Linked DNA regions of Arabidopsis thaliana. The protein of the gene in region 2 interacts with the protein of the main gene of each other region in a pairwise test. Each region holds a gene or a part of one and is shown on either strand. Other genes may lie near its edges.

The links.
Region 1: the proteins of EMB1968 (region 2) and NPR3 interact in binary tests that used the Arabidopsis thaliana proteins (3 or more experiments, as listed by UniProt).
Region 3: the proteins of EMB1968 (region 2) and DSPTP1 interact in binary tests that used the Arabidopsis thaliana proteins (3 or more experiments, as listed by UniProt).

What each region holds. Positions count from the first base shown.
Region 1 is NC_003076.8:18,226,442-18,232,560, reverse strand, and holds NPR3 (NPR1-like protein 3), read right to left. Parts: upstream 3,794-6,119; 5' UTR 3,243-3,793; coding exon 2,709-3,242; intron 2,621-2,708; coding exon 1,870-2,620; intron 1,796-1,869; coding exon 1,595-1,795; coding exon of another isoform or gene 1,530-1,594; exon of another isoform or gene 1,502-1,529; coding exon 1,227-1,501; 3' UTR 983-1,226; downstream 1-982. Other genes in the region: AT5G45113 (mitochondrial transcription termination factor-related / mTERF-like protein), read left to right, coding at 1-284. UniProt on the Arabidopsis thaliana protein: Salicylic acid (SA)-binding substrate-specific adapter of an E3 ubiquitin-protein ligase complex (CUL3-RBX1-BTB) which mediates the ubiquitination and subsequent proteasomal degradation of NPR1 in response to SA.
Region 2 is NC_003070.9:7,613,187-7,619,321, forward strand, and holds EMB1968 (ATPase family associated with various cellular activities (AAA)), read left to right. Parts: upstream 1-2,427; 5' UTR 2,428-2,488; coding exon 2,489-2,532; intron 2,533-2,618; coding exon 2,619-2,697; intron 2,698-2,841; coding exon 2,842-2,921; intron 2,922-3,417; coding exon 3,418-3,540; intron 3,541-3,629; coding exon 3,630-3,699; intron 3,700-3,780; coding exon 3,781-3,854; intron 3,855-4,055; coding exon 4,056-4,176; intron 4,177-4,254; coding exon 4,255-4,317; intron 4,318-4,402; coding exon 4,403-4,462; intron 4,463-4,561; coding exon 4,562-4,687; intron 4,688-4,770; coding exon 4,771-4,857; intron 4,858-5,083; coding exon of another isoform or gene 5,084-5,136; coding exon 5,137-5,235; 3' UTR 5,236-5,380; downstream 5,381-6,135. Other genes in the region: AT1G21680 (DPP6 N-terminal domain-like protein), read left to right, coding at 1-1,962; AT1G21695 (hydroxyproline-rich glycoprotein family protein), read left to right, coding at 5,946-6,135. UniProt on the Arabidopsis thaliana protein: May be involved in DNA replication and thus regulate cell proliferation.
Region 3 is NC_003074.8:8,475,669-8,480,720, reverse strand, and holds DSPTP1 (dual specificity protein phosphatase 1), read right to left. Parts: upstream 2,600-5,052; 5' UTR 2,442-2,599; coding exon 2,440-2,441; intron 2,205-2,439; coding exon 2,039-2,204; intron 1,939-2,038; coding exon 1,803-1,938; intron 1,700-1,802; coding exon 1,579-1,699; coding exon of another isoform or gene 1,548-1,578; exon of another isoform or gene 1,468-1,547; coding exon 1,322-1,467; coding exon of another isoform or gene 1,278-1,321; exon of another isoform or gene 1,229-1,277; coding exon of another isoform or gene 1,200-1,228; exon of another isoform or gene 1,186-1,199; coding exon 1,070-1,185; 3' UTR 880-1,069; downstream 1-879. Other genes in the region: AT3G23620 (Ribosomal RNA processing Brix domain protein), read right to left, coding at 114-317, 506-574; AT3G23605 (Ubiquitin-like superfamily protein), read right to left, coding at 3,588-4,046. UniProt on the Arabidopsis thaliana protein: Has a dual specificity toward Ser/Thr and Tyr-containing proteins. Dephosphorylates MPK4 in vitro.

The DNA.
Region 1 (6,119 bases), on a different chromosome or scaffold from region 2:
GGCCGAAAGATATCATAGAAAAGAAGATCATTATGCTAATAGATTATTTGGTTTATCCAATAGAATCCGTGATAGAGTCCCCAACATATTTGTGTTATAGTATGAAGAGAATACATCAGAGATTCACAATGTACATTTGGTTGAGGGAAAGAGATGCAGTAATACCGAGGCTGACACTAGGCACTGTTGTCGGTATTTCTAATACCCTTATTGTGCCATACTTTGTCAATACCCACCCGGAAGGTCCAGCTACTTGGGAAAATATAAAGAAAGCATCTACCTGATTAACTGGTCCGTTCAATGATATAACGTTATCTTCAATCTAGTGCAGATGTCTGTTGATCTATAACATTTTCTCATTGCTTAGCTCACAACCAGTGAAACCTGGAAATTCTCAGTGCGATGGAGAGGATCACAGAATATGTCGATGCATAGTGAAGTATTTCCGCCTGTGGATTTGATTGTACCTCTCTACTCATCAGTATAGATATAGATGCCAACAAACGAACAAGGAAGGACTTCGAGAAAGCTGAAAGAACAAAGGCTCTCCGTAATGTTGAAACGCCACTGAACTCAGTGAAGTGAATTTTAGACTGGACTGAACAGAGTGACAAATTGGAAAGGCACAGTCCTTCGTTGGTACAATATTCTTCTATTGCTTTACGATGTTGGAAAGGCACACTTAACATATAATGCAACTTGAAATGCTTTCTTTGTTGAAGAAGACAGATAGACAGTATTGGTCAGACAAGCCCCTGCCCCGACCCTATGCCAAAGAGAGCAGCTAACATCTACTTACTGGGACATACATGTGACAGTTCTGTTCAGAATGCATTATTACAGGTTGTTTGGAAGAATGGTTTTTGTTCTTTACTCTTAGCCACCAGTAGTCTTATCTTCTGTAATTATGTAAAGAGATAGCTATGATTGACAAATGATCATGTTTTTTCCTGACTTTTTGTGGAGTGTCTTTGTTTGTTTAAGTTTCAGGTATCTGAGAATATCTTGTAGATAACCTAAATATTAGATTTTTGTATTGAAAACAAAAGATTGCGTATAGTTAGAACGTTTTGGGTTAATCAGCACTCCTAATCTTGTACATCTATCTATCCATCTCTCTTTATTGAAACTGAACCTAAAGCATCTGTATAAAATCTGAGTAACATCCATAAAGAAAAAACCCTTTTAACAAAGATATCTAATTACATTTGACTTATGGTGCAGTTTCATGTTGTGTTGTGCAGGTCATCTCTTATGGAAGAAGAAGAAGGAGAAGATGAAGCAGAAAGACAAGACCGCGCAATCTTAGACTCTTTGTCTTTGCTATATGCCTTTTGGACATCATCCTTAAGCTCTCTATATCTCATTCTTTTCAATCTTCTTTCATGTGTAGATCCCTTCTCAAAATGGAAATCGTCGAGGATGTCGTCGTCTATATACTCAGCCATGTACTTATCTAGAACCTCTGAACCATATGGAAAAAACCTTCGACCAGTCTCAACTGCATTGTGAAACGGTAATGAAGTCAGTCAAGAGAAAATGAGCAACATAAGAAGATGAAGGGTAGACTTACAGAGAGCAAGCTTTTTGTTACCTGTTTTCATTAGAGCCACCATACGAGTAAGAAGTCTTTGGGTTTGCATATGAGGAGTTTCGTTTAAATCAACCTGACTCAAGTTTCCGGTTAACCCACTCGAAGGAGGTGACAAACCCGTGAACTCACTTGTACCTTCTACGTTACCAATGTCCATAGCAACTTTAGCTTCCGTTGGAAAGAACAACTGAGCAAGCCCCACTGCAAAAAAGGTAGAAGCTTTAACAAAAATGTAGTAAAGATACAGAAGAATTCAGTAATTTTCAGTCAATTACCTCTCTTTTCTAGGTACAACAGTCTCATCTGGAGATCTTCAGGCATAGAAATGGAACACATTGGTGTATCTAGAACCATGGGGTTCTTCCTGATTTCTCTTTCCAAGATATCGATGCATAACCTGGCTTTACTAGATTCACGCCCTTTAGCTGTTTTGGTATGATAATCCTTTGGATTTGTCAGTCTTCTTAATATATTAACTGCGCTACGTCCGTCAGATGTAAACTCAGATGCATTGGCGCCTTTATCGATAAGCGATATAATGATCGATGGCTCTCTACGCATCGCAGCAAAATGAAGAACCGTGTAACCCCGGGAATTCCTGTAGTTCACATCACCCATATCCAGAGCAAGAATCTCGGCAACAACTTTCGGATCACTATACACAACAGAATAATGCAGACCATTGGCTTGATCTAGAGTGATATCTGACTCAGTCAAAAGAAGCTTCACAAGCTCAACATCATCTGAATCCAAGGCCTTGAGAATTTTACCGATTCTTTCAAGCAATTTCTCCGAAATCTTGGGACTGGTTTCTTCGTCTTGCGGGGATATAAGTCGAAGCTGTTTAATCTTCTCTGCTACTTCGGGAGGAACTTCCTTTTCAATACAGAACCTGTAAAGATCTGACCTCGCCACTCTCTCAATACACTGATCAAGAAGCTGAGTCAACTTACAATTGAAAGCAACCATAAGAATGGGAAGAACATTCTCAACAAGGGTCTTCTCCACAAAGTTACAAAGCCGCCGCTGCAAGCACACAAACCTTTTAGTTCTCATTGAGGTCTATGAATTAAGAAACAAAGAGACCGAAGAAAAAAGAAGACTTTTCACACACCTGAAAAGATGAAACTAGCTCAGGCACTTGGAGAACAGAGGAAGCATACATCAATTGAACAACAAAATCAATGGCAGGTCGACAACAATCATGAGAACAAACTGGATCAACACAAGTCGAAACCTCCAATGGAAAAGGCTTTAATCTCCCAGTATATATATAACTCAAGAAATACAAGAAAGCTTCATGAGCAACAGCTCCATAAGGTAACATCTCTCTCAACTGATACTTTGGTTTCTCAGTTTTCGAAATTTTCTTTTCTTTCTTAAACAAATCTTGGAAAAACTTACTTCTTGCAGCTAAAATGCATCTATGAACACCAACTGGAACACCATCAACAATGATCTCTGCATCACTGTAATCACAATCTGAATTACTAAGAAGCTGCTCAAGATTGGAGCTGAGTTTGGTTAGACTAACAACTTCAGGATTAGAAGCTGAGCTTGATGAGAAGTGATTGGACCCAATAGAACCATAAGAGAAATGAGAAGATGTGAAACTCAAAGATGATGATGGCTCAGTCAAAGTAGCCATTTTCTCTTCTTCTTCTTCTTGTAGAATTATCAATCTTGCATGAAGATCAAGAAGATTACACAAGTCTGAAGATCGGTTTCAGATACAAAAGCCCTAAATTTACATTTCTAACAAGGAATCAACCAAACCCAGAACCAAAAGAGGAAAATTTGTACACTTGGGGATTTGAGTTATGAAACTATTACTCTTACACCTCTGATTCAATGTACCACAAAAAAAAGTCAAAAGGAAAGGAAGAAACTTTGGACAAGGAATCAAACAAAATTGGGAGAGAAAATAAACCCTAAGAGAATCTGACACAACCAAGGATATAGAGATTGAGATCTGCACAATCGTAAGAGATAAGATCAAAGAGAAGGCAAAAGAACCAAATTGAGATGTATCAAAGAGATAAAAAGGAAGAGAATTTAGAGGAAAAGTCAAGAAAGAAAGAGAGGTATATAAAGGATAAATGATGATGAAATTGAGAACAAACAGGACACAACAGGTGCAAGTGATGGTGAAAGAAAGAGACAGCTTCAATGTGAAGGAAGATACAGAGGAAACAAGAGAGTTAATATAATAGTTTTTTTTGTAAATTTAATAATATGAATTAATAAGCATTAGAATTAAAAACATGGTCTAATAAAGTGTATAAAGAAAGACTCAAATGAAAGTTGACAAATAGAAAACAAAGACTAGAAAAATCCGTGTATGATGCCAAAGGTTCTCCGTGTATGACGCCACTCACTAACATTTTCCACATCTTTCTCTAATTTAACAAATCTATGGATAAACACATATTTTTTTTCTCATCAAAATCACTATTTTTATTTGACTGCGATATATCACATCATTAATATATTTTTATTTACATCATATTATTCAATAGTTTTAATTTGTTTCTTAGGTGTAAATAACTTGTAATGATATGCCAATTAATGCCGTCACGAAATAGCATTAAGTCAAGAAGATTAATATTAAGAAATAGCCGTCACTATTGATGACGGAAGGAAGTGACGAAAGCAAATACGAACGGCATATGAATGACGTGGCTTGTGTGTGGATTGCTGCAATGTGATGACGTATTAAACAATTACACTTTCGGAATAGTAGATAAATCATAAAGTAATAGTAGAGATTATAATAGGCAATAGCTATGCCTATAGTGGTCCAAATTTTTATTAAATTTATAATTTTGTGATGACCAAAGTCATTCTTTGTGGCCTAGTTCCAAATTTTAAGACATAAATAACGTTTTGAAATGAATTGAATATAGATATGAGGGACGACAATTTTGTCTTGATTTTTTTTTTTAAAACAAGAAGATTCTTGGCTTCGTAACAAAGTGGTGAAGTCTCTTATGCTAGCATTCTAGTCGCGTCGGAAATTCGACTCTACCTACAAGGCTACAAATACAATCGGTGAAATGCGTTAGCTGACTATTAAAAAAAAAAAAACTCTTTAAGGATAGTCGTTGAATAGTTTATTCATCAAATTTTTATATGAAATAAAATTTAATTAGCATTATTTCGATTGGCAATGATTCCTATGATTAAATTTTCGACTTTCGGTAATGCTATCGAATATAGAATTCTAACTATAAATATATATTTTTAACAAAAAATAACATATAAGTGTAAACTTGGATAGTGACAATGCAACGTCACTAATACAAATCATATTAGTATATTACTTTGACTTAAACTATCAAATATACGCTAAGTTTTGGTCACTAGTGACGCTGCGTTACTTTGGTAAACCATATGTTAATTTGTATCTTTCGTTCACTAAGTATCACTAAATCATATATTAAACCATCAACGTCACTAATACAAATCATATTACTATGGCTTAAATCATCAAATATGCGATAAGTTTTGGTCACTAAATAATTATTTTATGTATTACTTTGGCTAAAACCATCAAATATTAACAAGACAAAAAAAAGTTTCCTACCAATTCGTTATTTAGATCAGAAGTTTTAACCCATTCAAATTTACAAATTTCTTACATAAACTAAGTATAACGATGTAACCCATAAAGCCTTGAACTCACACAAGATTGAGGACATATATATTGGTAGTTATTCAAAATTGTTATATCACTTTATGACTCAAAAACGTAATTTGTTTTGTTGATGTCAATGGATTGATTTCTTTTGTTTTCATGTTTTTTTCTTTTTTTGCCATAAGACCAAAAACTTCAGGCTTTACTTCATGAAAATCCTAACACTTTTCATTTTAGTGGAATATTTAAATTCTTAACAAAAAGACAAAAACAAAACTCATACAAGAGATAAATCATTCTAAAGAGGAGTGTAAACTAGTAAAGCGTGACCTAACACAAGAGATAAAAATCATTCTAAGAGGAATTGGAAACGAAACTTAACTTGATGAAACAATTAAAAAGAAAAATAACAAAACAAAAAGAAAACTCTTAAATTTTCCATAAAAATATATAGTCAATGCCGGCTTAACTATAGGGGCCGATAATATAAACTTATAGGGTACATAACTACATATACATAAATTTATAGGGCACAAAAAAAAAAATCTATACAAGATGGACACAATTTGTTTTTTGTATATACTCAAAAGGCACCTAATGTTTTTGTTAAAAGAAGAAGTATATAAAAAAATTATGATATTAAGGAATATATCTTTTAAATTTGTCCCAAAGCATCTAAAATGTATGAACCTGTATATGATGAACTTTTTTATATTTTGGAAGAGAAAACAACCTTGATGACTCATGTAAATGTATTACTGGAAATAAAAATTGAAGCATCGATCCAATGGGGTGGTGTGTCAGTGTCGGTGATGCTTCCTAGTTCCTGCTGAGAAGCTACGCGGAATATATGGTTTATCATACAAAGTCTCCTTATGTAATTTTTTT
Region 2 (6,135 bases):
ACTCAACCGCCGTCAGTTTCCGGAGAGCTCCGAATCACCGATGGGGAATCGGTAAATTTCAACGGCTATTTCCCGTCTCCTTCTCCGGCTCTATTATCTCTCCTTCCCGACGAAACCCTAATTCAAATGGAAGATTCGTCTCCTCTGCATCTCATATACGTCACCGAGAGAAACGGTACTTCTAGCTTGTACTACGATCTAGTTTACGGCGGTAATTCTGATTTTAAAACGAAACGAAGATCGGTGTTAGAAGCACCGTCTCGAGTCCAAGTTCCGTTGTTATCCCGCTTTGATCATCTGAGTGGCATGACGGTAAATTCTTTTAAAGATAAGCCTAGTTTGAGTGGTGAGTTTATTGTCTACGTGTCAACCCATGAGAGCTCAGGTGAGCCGAGAGCAAGCTGGACCGCCGTTTACTCTACCGAGTTAAAAACCGGGTTAACCAGGCGGTTAACACCGAGTGGTGTAGCTGATTTCAGCCCGGCGGTATCGCCTTCCGGAAATTTAACGGCTGTGGCTTCATACGGAGAGAGAGGCTGGACAGGGGAAGTTGAAGAGCTACGTACGGACATCTATGTATTCTTGACTCGGGATGGGTCTCACCGTGTCAAGGTGGTGGAGCACGGTGGTTGGCCGTGTTGGGTTGATGAGTCGACTCTGTATTTCCATAGAAGAAGTGAGGAGGATGGTTGGATCAGCGTTTACCGAGCCATCTTACCTGAAAACGGACCGTTGACTACTGAGTCGGTGACAATTCAGCGAGTCACACCACCGGGAGTTCACGCTTTCACACCGGCCACGTCACCAAACAACCACGAGTTCGTTGCGGTAGCTACAAGGAGACCAGGCTCGGATTACCGCCACGTGGAGTTGTTTGATCTAAAGAGGAATGAGTTTATAGAGTTGACTCGTTTGGTGGCGCCAAAGAGTCATCACTTGAATCCATTCTTGTCCCCTGACTCGTCTCGAGTCGGATATCATAGTTGTAGAGGCGATGCTAATGGACGGAGAAGTCCTCTGCTCTTCCTTGAAAATATTCAAACCACTACAAGGGACCTCTCTCTCTTTAGAATTGATGGTTCGTTTCCTTCGTTCTCACCTGGAGGTGATCGTATCGCATACGTTAAGATGCCTGGTGTGTTTGTGGTGAAGCCGGATGGTTCAGGGCAGCGTGAAGTGTACAAGGGAATGGCGTTTTCGACAGCTTGGGATCCGGTTCGACCTGGAATTGTGTACTCTAGCTCAGGTCCAACGTTTGCTACAGAGAGAACAGAGGTTGATGTTATCTCTATTGACGTTGATGCAGCCGATAAGTCATCTTCCGTGAGGAGGCTAACGACAAACGGGAAGAACAATGCTTTCCCTTGGCCATCTCCTGATGGTAAGCGGATAGTGTTTCGTTCGGGGCGGACTGGTCACAAAAACCTCTACATAATGGATGCTGAGAAAGGAGAAAGCGGTGGTCTATGGAGGTTAACCGAAGGTGCGTGGACCGACACAATGTGTAACTGGTCACCGGATGGGGAATGGATCGCGTTTGCATCAGATCGAGAAAGCCCTGGCTCGGGTAGTTTTGAGCTCTTCTTGATCCACCCCAACGGAACAGGGTTAAGGAAGCTCATCCAAAGCGGGACGGGTGGGAGAACAAACCACCCGATCTTCAGCCCGGACAGTAAATCATTAGTCTTCACTTCTGATTATGCTGGAATCTCGGCGGAACCGATCTCGAACCCGCATCATTACCAGCCATACGGTGATATCTTCACGGTGAAATTAGATGGCTCTAATGTGAGGAGGCTAACGCATAACTCTTATGAAGATGGGACACCGGCATGGGCCCCTCGGTTCATCCACCCCAACAATGTGGAGCTACAAAGGAGGAATGATTCTAGGTGCTCGTTCGAAGACTGTCACTGGCTCAACAAGTACCCTACACTAAAAGGCCGAAAAATATCTTGTTAATATGTATCTACAGTTTTGTATCCCAGCTTGTAACTCTACTTATAGATTTGTATGAGACTGCCACTGTATATGCATAAGACTTTGTATTATAGAGATCGTTAATGTGATATGTATATCATATTGTCAAAACAGTCGTGATAAGATATCAAACCCTCTTCTAAATGATAGTCTTGCTATTGCGGTTTGGAATCCTCATGAATTATCCAATGTCAATTCAATCTCAGCGTGATTGAAGACAGGTTTTTAAATTCCAAAATCTCTTCTTTAATCACGTTTATAAATCAGTTTTGATACATTATTACTATGTTTTGCGTACGTGTCAGAAGATTACTATCCATGTAATGTCTGAAGAATTAGGTGCGAGTCAAAAGTCATAACAGTCGATAAGATATCAAACCCTCTTCGTGACTTGGAAGGTTTGAGGCGGGGGCGGGAAAATCCAGAAAACGTCGGATAATGTTTATAAAGGAGTCTCTCCGTCACCGGAGAAAAATTAGAAGAAAAAAGAGGCGAAGAAGAGAGAGGAATGGCGCCAGTTCTTCAGAGCTCACAGCCATGGGTTGAGAAATAGTACGATTTCTTCTCACTGATTTTTTATTTCGTTGACGGAATTTATGTGGGGTTTAATAAACTCATTGTTTCCGATTTGGATCTAGCCGGCCGAAGCAGGTTAAGGACGTGGCTCACCAGGAAGAGGTGGTTCGTGTCCTCACCAACACTCTCCAGACTGCTGACGTAATTTCACTATAACCTCTTTGTTTATCGCGAAACAAATCCCTAATTATTAAAATCTGATTTTGTACAAGTGTGAAAAACCCTAGATGTCGAATTTGGTTCTCAATTCTGGGTTTTAATTTTTTGTTTGTCTCTCTGTTGTAGTGCCCGCACATGCTCTTCTATGGACCACCAGGCACTGGAAAAACCACTACTGCTCTTGCCATCGCTCACCAGCTCTTTGGGTAACGTATTCATTTGATAATTTGTGATAGCTGAAATTCGGATGACTTTTTGATTGATTCATTTGTGTGTACTTAGTTTGTATGAGACCTTGTGATCTCTAATATGATACATTCAGATTTGTGATTCAAATAACTCGGTTTTTTTTTTTTTTTATGTAGAAGCTGATATAATATGCACACTCAGACTCTGTGGTTGCATAATGATATACCAACTTCTCCCATTAGGTAGCTAGACAGTATACCAAGATGTGAATTCATAGGAATAGTAATCATTATGATTTTTCTATGTAAGTGGTTAGTTTTTGAAGCTGAATTGTCTTGTTCTTCTTTCCATTGCCTCCATGGGTGTCGTCCCATATGAGTCGGTTTCAGCTTCTTTTGAGAGTAATAATCACAGATTTATTTTCATGAGCCTGGCCTTGTTTTGTTATTTCATTTTGCTATATTATGTGGATTTTTACAATGGGCATGTGAACTAACTATAGAGTGTTTACAGACCTGAACTATACAAGTCTAGGGTGTTGGAGCTTAATGCAAGTGATGACAGAGGTATTAATGTTGTTCGGACTAAGATCAAGGATTTTGCTGCTGTTGCTGTTGGGTCTAATCATCGTCAAAGGTGTCGTACTTTTTATTAAGTTTTTTTTTTTTTTGGGGTCATTTTCTCGTTTCTGCATTTCATCTAAGACCTTCGATTTGATACTTCAGTGGTTATCCTTGCCCATCGTTTAAGATCATCATCCTAGATGAGGCTGATTCGATGACAGAAGATGCTCAGGTACGTTGAACATCTATTATTCACTACCGCATTTGTACGTTTGATATGTGTTTACCATGAGCTATTTTATTGACTGTCCAGAATGCCTTGAGGCGCACAATGGAAACTTACTCCAAAGTCACCAGATTCTTTTTCATATGTAATTACATCAGCAGGTAATTCTGTCACAACAGCCTTTTATTTTTTTTCCTTCTGTTCTCATTTGTTCTCCAATTTTCTCTCTGGTTATTGAAAATGATTGCTTTTTCGTTTATACTTTTGTTATATTTTGGAACATGCTCATAGTGAGCTACTTGCTGAACTATGAACCTACTGATTTTGATCACCCTTACAAACTTTGATCTCTTGTTCTGTAGGATCATAGAGCCCCTTGCTTCCAGGTGTGCGAAGTTCAGGTTTAAACCACTTTCCGAAGAAGTCATGAGTAACCGTATATTGCATATTTGTAATGAAGAAGGTCTCAGCCTTGATGGAGAGGTATGAGCAAATGCTTCAATGTTTTCCGTATTATTTTAGTTTTGTGAAAGCTGATTATTGTAGCCGTTTCCTATTCAGGCTCTTTCAACTTTGAGCTCCATATCACAAGGTGATCTCCGTAGGGCCATCACATATCTGCAGGTAAGATAAAACTATCTGAAATATTTGTTACTAGACGAAATCGACCATAGAAATGTGAAACACTCTTTCTACCTGAATATTGCAGAGTGCTACTCGGTTGTTTGGATCAACAATAACTTCTACAGATTTACTCAATGTGTCTGGGGTAAGGATGAAGTTAACCCAATATTTGCATAAGTGTATGGTAGGTTCAGCCATGTCAGACTTGCTGATGTTTAATATGGATGTCTAACGAATCTATCAGGTAGTTCCTCTAGAGGTAGTCAATAAACTTTTTACTGCATGCAAAAGTGGTGATTTCGATATTGCAAACAAGGAAGTGGATAACATAGTTGCAGAAGGATATCCTGCATCTCAAATCATCAATCAGGTTTTCTATTTTCCTCTCTTATTTTTACCCCATTTAAGTCATGCAACTGTGGCTATAACCCCTTCTATACAACACTCTTTCAGCTATTCGATATAGTTGCGGAGGCTGACAGTGACATAACAGACATGCAAAAGGCTAAGATCTGCAAATGTTTAGCTGAAACTGATAAGGTAAGACTTTCCCGTACTAATTTTCCTTACTTGTGTCTCTTTTAGAGCCTCAAGTGAGATCAATTACCAACATCTTGACTCAATTATATTACGGGTTTTGAGTGAAGTTCACATCTTAGATTTTTGCCATTTGAATCTGTAGATATGTTGCAATCTTGCTAAGGATGTCTCTGTTACCTCTAGTGATAATAAAATATCTCACATCTTTTATTTTTAATGTATCCAGCGACTTGTAGACGGGGCGGATGAGTACTTGCAGCTTCTGGATGTGGCAAGCAGTACAATTTGTGCCCTCTCAGAAATGGCTCAAGACTTCTAATGCAAATTCTGCTTGAATTGGACCTGTGCCTTAAGACTTATGAGACTATCATAGTGTAGGTTTTGATAAAAAGTTGGAGCGTTATGACGTTTTACTGGTTACTTATCTGTTATTGTTTTAAGAAAAACTATTAGATATATTTATTGCATCATTACTTAAGTCTATTTGTTTTGTGGGTAAGATCATTAAATATCATTACAATGTGAAATACATGATCGAATCAAAATAATTAACATCTCTTATAACCAACAAAATCATGACCAGATAGCTTGATGGACATTGCTTCTGTTGTAAGAATTAGTGAATCCCTTTATCTATATCCAATATTGACACCGTAAAAGGAGTAATGTGTTTCTTTACTAGTTGGATATATATACAGTGTAGATCCCAAAATGTAAATATAAAAATAAAAAATATAGTAGATTTATATAATTATATTTTTCTATTTATTACCTCTAATAATCAAAATAGTAAAATCCTACGAAAATGTAATAAAATACAAGAGGATTAATATACATATCCACATAAAAGGAAGATTCGGATACACATCCAAACTATAGAAAACATTAGTAATGCCATAAATAAATAAAAATGCTGTCAAGACACAAAATTCGTTGAATGTTATAGTCTTCACATAAAACTGTCATAAATCTGGATACGTTCTAAAAATAATTGATCTAATCTAAATCTATAAGTAGTTTCTTATTAGTAGAATCCTTATGAATCTTAATTTGATCAAGACAGAAACGCTTTTGTTTACTTTTACCTAATGGTCGATGGTGACGATTCTTTCAAGAGACCCGGAGCTGTGCCTTTTAAGTGGGAGATCCGACCCGGTGTACCTAAAACCCGACCCGGTGATGATGATCCAGCTCTTCTTCAACCACCTCCTCCTAACAAACTTCCTCCTCTCAAATTAAAATCAACTCCGCCGTCGAATTCGCCATCTCCGTCGTCTT
Region 3 (5,052 bases), on a different chromosome or scaffold from region 2:
CATCTTAATAACATTTTGTTCTATCTAGCAGTTCATAGCTAAGTTAAGAGGAGAATCAAAGTTGCAACACCATAAAACCAAGATGCAACAGCTGCCAAAGCTTATGAACTTACCACAAAAATGCTACAATCTGTTTTCTGAGAGAAGAACTCTAATGAAGTTTCACCTCCACTCTCGAAAGGCCTAATATTCTCATTCCTCCTTGAATATCTGATGGCACCTCCCTTCTTCAAACGGTAGAGTTCCGTCATTACAGAGCTAAGTGTAGCACTCGTCTTTGTTCCATGAAGTATCAACGTCTTCTTCCCAGTTTCAACCTACAAATTCCAAAAACAACCAATTCAGATACAAAGTTTGCAACTTTCAATCGATTCTTTGATAAATTTATCGACAAATAGAAAACCCATGAGTCTCATAGATGTCAAAACAACATTGAAGACAGCTCTCAACATGATTCACTTCTCGGTTTTAAGAAGGACGAAGGAGAAAAAGAAGAGAACTTTACCAACTTAGGAGCTCGGCTTTCGAGAACACGCTTGGCTTTGCCAGTCTTCGGAGTTCGTATTTCCATCATGACTCTGTTAAATCGCCGGAAAGTTTCACAAGCGACGGCTCCGAAAGAAGAGAGAAAGGTTTTTCGATTGATTGATATGGAGTCTAGGGTTTTAGTGCCTCCTCACAATTGGAAGCAACTTTAAGAGAATTCTAATATGACCCCTAACCTTATAAGTCTGTCCTAAATCACCCCACAGTTTTTTATTGACTATAAAACCCAATGTTTCACAAGGTCCATGAACTGTTTAAACTATACGGGCTCAAATTAAACAATGACAGCCCATGAACTTTTACACACAAAAAAGACATTTCATTGCGGTACAAAAAATTTACAAATTTTTATTTATGTTCACTTTTATATCCATGATGATGAAACTATACAAAACGAATAGAGAACATGAACATATTCCAAATTCGTTTCCATGTTATTATTCGAGTTGTTAAGGAGAAGAAACAACAAAACATTTTGATTGATGCTTCGTGTGAGATTTACAAGTTTCTCCCAATGGTACGATCAATGATCTTCACGCCTGACATTGTGCAATCGTAACTTGCTTCCCTGTTTTATAGAGAAGAAGGAAGATGCATGTAAGAGATATTTACATGGAACTGTCTTCTCCTCCACAACCACTTGCTTTTCATCCTCAAAAGGAAAAAAACTGGTCACTCACTACTGAATCAGACAGACAAAGTATCTCCAACTTAGATTCACCACAGAGATCTCAACCTAATAGTCTAGACCTCAAGATATTATAGTAAGGCATACCTTGCATAGACTTCTCGAGGTCTTGTAATTGTCTGATGAAACCAGCATTAGGACTTGCCACGGGTCTTTTGCTTTTAACATGTTGCAATGCTTGAGCTAAAGTCATACCGTGTTTCTTCATGAGGTAAGCAACAACTATAGTGACACTGCAAGTAAAAGGGACAAACCATCCAGGCTAAATATGTACTTAGTTTTGAATACTATCCAGCAAACAAGGCGAAAACCGCTAGATATTGAAGGAAGCAAACAAAACTGACCTCCGTGATTTGCCAACAAAGCAATGAACAAGAACACTACCGCCTTGTCTCTTGGCTTCATCAATGAAATCAACACACTCATCGAAGTACATTTCTAGATTTGTATCTTCCTTATCCACGACTATCACATAGAAAAACAATCAAACAAGCAATTCCATCCCAAAATCAAAAACATATTCTCTCTTCAACTAGATAACAAAGTGAAACCTTTAATAAGTTTATACCTCGAACAACCTTGTAAACAAAGTCATCAGGATGAGCTGGTCTCAACGAACTAGCAACAGTCAAAATATGTGTAACATTGTAAGATTTCAAAACATTCTTATTACTAGCTGCTGCAACAGATCCAAGATAAAGACCCTGAAAAAGTCAAATTCAACAAAAGGTTTGATCTTTGATAATGAATCATTGGTCATTTGGTTGGTAGAAAAAACCTATGAGTATTAGTAGTAGTAGTAACCTGTTCAATAAGGGAAGGGACATTGTCGTCTCTATAGGTACGAGCAACTTTAATAACACGAACAAGAGCTTGTATCTGATTCTTCACCTTTTCATTATACTTTTCTATTCCTGGTAACGAAGAAGATGACGAAGAAGAAGAAGGTGATCCTCTGTCTCTAGAACTCCTGATTTCATCGAATCAGAAAAAAGAAGAAGAGAGTTTACATATCAAGATCGTGATCATAGCAGCAAGAATCAAAATCAAAATCAAAATCCAGGTCACCGAAATAATGGAATCCGATTCTGATGAATGATCTTATAACCGAACAACGGTGAATCGAGAATTACGATTACAACGACGGAGTAGTGATTGGTTTAAGATCAAAAGAAGAATTCGATTATCAAGGAAGAAGAACTTACATTGGAAAAGAAGGAATACGAATTCGCCAAAGGAGAAAGAGATTTACAAAAAAAAAAAAACGAATCTTTGAAATGGGTTAAAGAGGAAATTGCAACTGCATGGTTCTCCAGGTTTTTTGGGGGAAGGAGGAGGAGGAGAGGGAAGGATGTGTTCAAAGAGGGCCAAATAGTAAAATTTCCTTTCTATCAGAAAAATCAGAAATGTTTTAACTTATTAGCTCAGTCCTTATATTATACTCAAAAATTTGTGTTTGGGATTTGTGCTTTGTAGGCTTGGTTTCCTGCTATTAGGCCCCCTGGATTAGTAAGAAGTAGTGTACTTGGCTGAAACTGAGGCAACGGTGTTGTGAATATGTCAGCAAAACTGTACAGAGGCAGAGATGTATCGAGTGATGATGATGTTGTTGTTAAAGACTGTTTGTTATTATGACGTAGTAGTAATCTACTTTAATGTTTTTTTCGAGGGCAGTAGAGCACAAATCTACTTCAATATAGTCCATCGAAGTTCGATATTTTACTTCGATAGACTATCTAATCAAAGCCGGTCTCGACGAGTTTCTCGGTTTCCATTTTGGTACGGTCTTTCCCATTCCTAGAAATTGTGCATGAACATGAAGTACTTCCTTGCTCACTTGATGCTGTCTTAGGCTTGTTTAGAAATAGGACCCTAATTGCTTTAAGAAATCTGACTAAAAAGTAATGGACAATGTACAAATGTACCCTCAGCACACCCTCTAAGCCCGGTCCTGGCACATATCGACGAGTTTGTCGGTTTCATTTTGGTATGGTTTGGTTTACCCACTCCTTGCTCACTTGTCTTAGGCTTGTTTAGAATTTGGGCTTATGGGCTTGGTTTGCTACGTCACCGTATACGTAACTTCGTCACCTCAAAAACTATGCGAGAAAGAGTGACTTAAGAAGCAACAAAAAGATAAACCAAAAACTATACGTTCTTCTTGTATGATGATGACGACATTGACTTTGAAACAGTGTTATCTAAAAACGATTTGATCGGAAATATCTAACAACGATTCAAGAAAACCAAATGAAATTTGCAATTTCCAAGTACAAATTCGAGAAATTGAGTAAACATAAACTTGGTAGAAGAAAGAAATTATTTTTCTAATTACAGATCGAAAGAAGATTCTTCAGAGCCAAGTAACAGAAACCAAGGAATTAGCAAGCCCAGATTGTTCAAAAGTAGTATTAGATCCAAAATAAAGATTCTTATAATCCCCAGGAAACCCTTGAATCAATTTAAAACGCCGCTTTCTCTCAGAAGATTCATCACCAATCTGCGAATAACAAAACGACCAAAGAAGCTGAACAGATTCACTCTTTAAGAAACTTCTCTGTATTCTTCTCCCATCTGGTAATCGAACGCAGATTCTGCACAAAACGCTTTGATCCATATCGCGATTCGGTTCTTCTGGTAAGTTAGGGAATCCGAATACCGCGTTTGATGAATTCGTCGTATTCTCGGTTTCTTCTGATTCTTCTTCAGAGAAGCGTTTCGGGCGTTTGATTCTTCGCAGAGACTCGATTTCCAGAGAGGCGACGTCTACGAACGGTGATAATTTCTCCATCATTGATTGACACTCGAGCATCGTTTTGATCGATGATTACGGAGAGATTTAGGTAAATTTCAAAACCCTAATTGTTTCATAGTTAGAGTGGATTTTTGTGGAATTTGTGAGCTTCTCGTTTATTTATAGAGACGAGACGATAGAGAGGAGCTATAAAGGTTTGTTTCCTTTTCCTTGAAAATAGAAAAATAGATTTATTAGTATTATTGTTTTTGTGTTAGTAGAATTGATTTTTGGAGATATTCTGCGGATTTTTTTTTGTTTCTATTTTCCTTTTTTTTTTTTGTGTAATTACAGATTTTGTTTTTGATAATTGTAAGTTTGTAATACAAATTTAATTATGAGAAATCTACATTGATTATGAATTGAGATTTTATTTGATTTCTCTAAAGAACCTAGTGACTTTCTTGAGCAATATCTTCTTGTTTTGGCAAGTTTTTTTTTTCTGTCCACATTTTTGCACGATTTTTAAGCAACAATATAAATAATATATGGATCAATTTCTTATACAATAAATTTATCGTATAATTTTGTCAATTACTAGTTTTCTTTTTTTTAGGTTTTTGTGTGTGGACAAACTCTCTTAAATCATTTTCATGTAATGATTTTGACTCTTATAAATTACTCTCATTTGACCCAAAAAAAAAAAAATTACTCAAGGTCTCAAGTCTCAACAATCAATAATTTTGCGTTTTGACTATCAAATTCATCAAGAAGAAGAAGAATTGATTATTTCTGTATATATGTACAATATCTTTTTTACTTCTTTAGTCGAAGAAGACATTGATTTCAATCAAAGTTTGTTTTGGTAACTTTTTTTGCTTACCACAAGAAGATGATGAGAAGGGTAACGTATCGTCAACATATAAAAATCATAAAACAATGATTAACAAAAGGTATCACAGAATCTCAGAGAATGCTTCAAAAGACTATAGAAAGTAGAAATTGAAACACCAACCAAGAGTTTTGCTTTGTCTCTCTTTAATTTTTATTCTTTGCATATATGAAGTAATAGACAATACCTTTC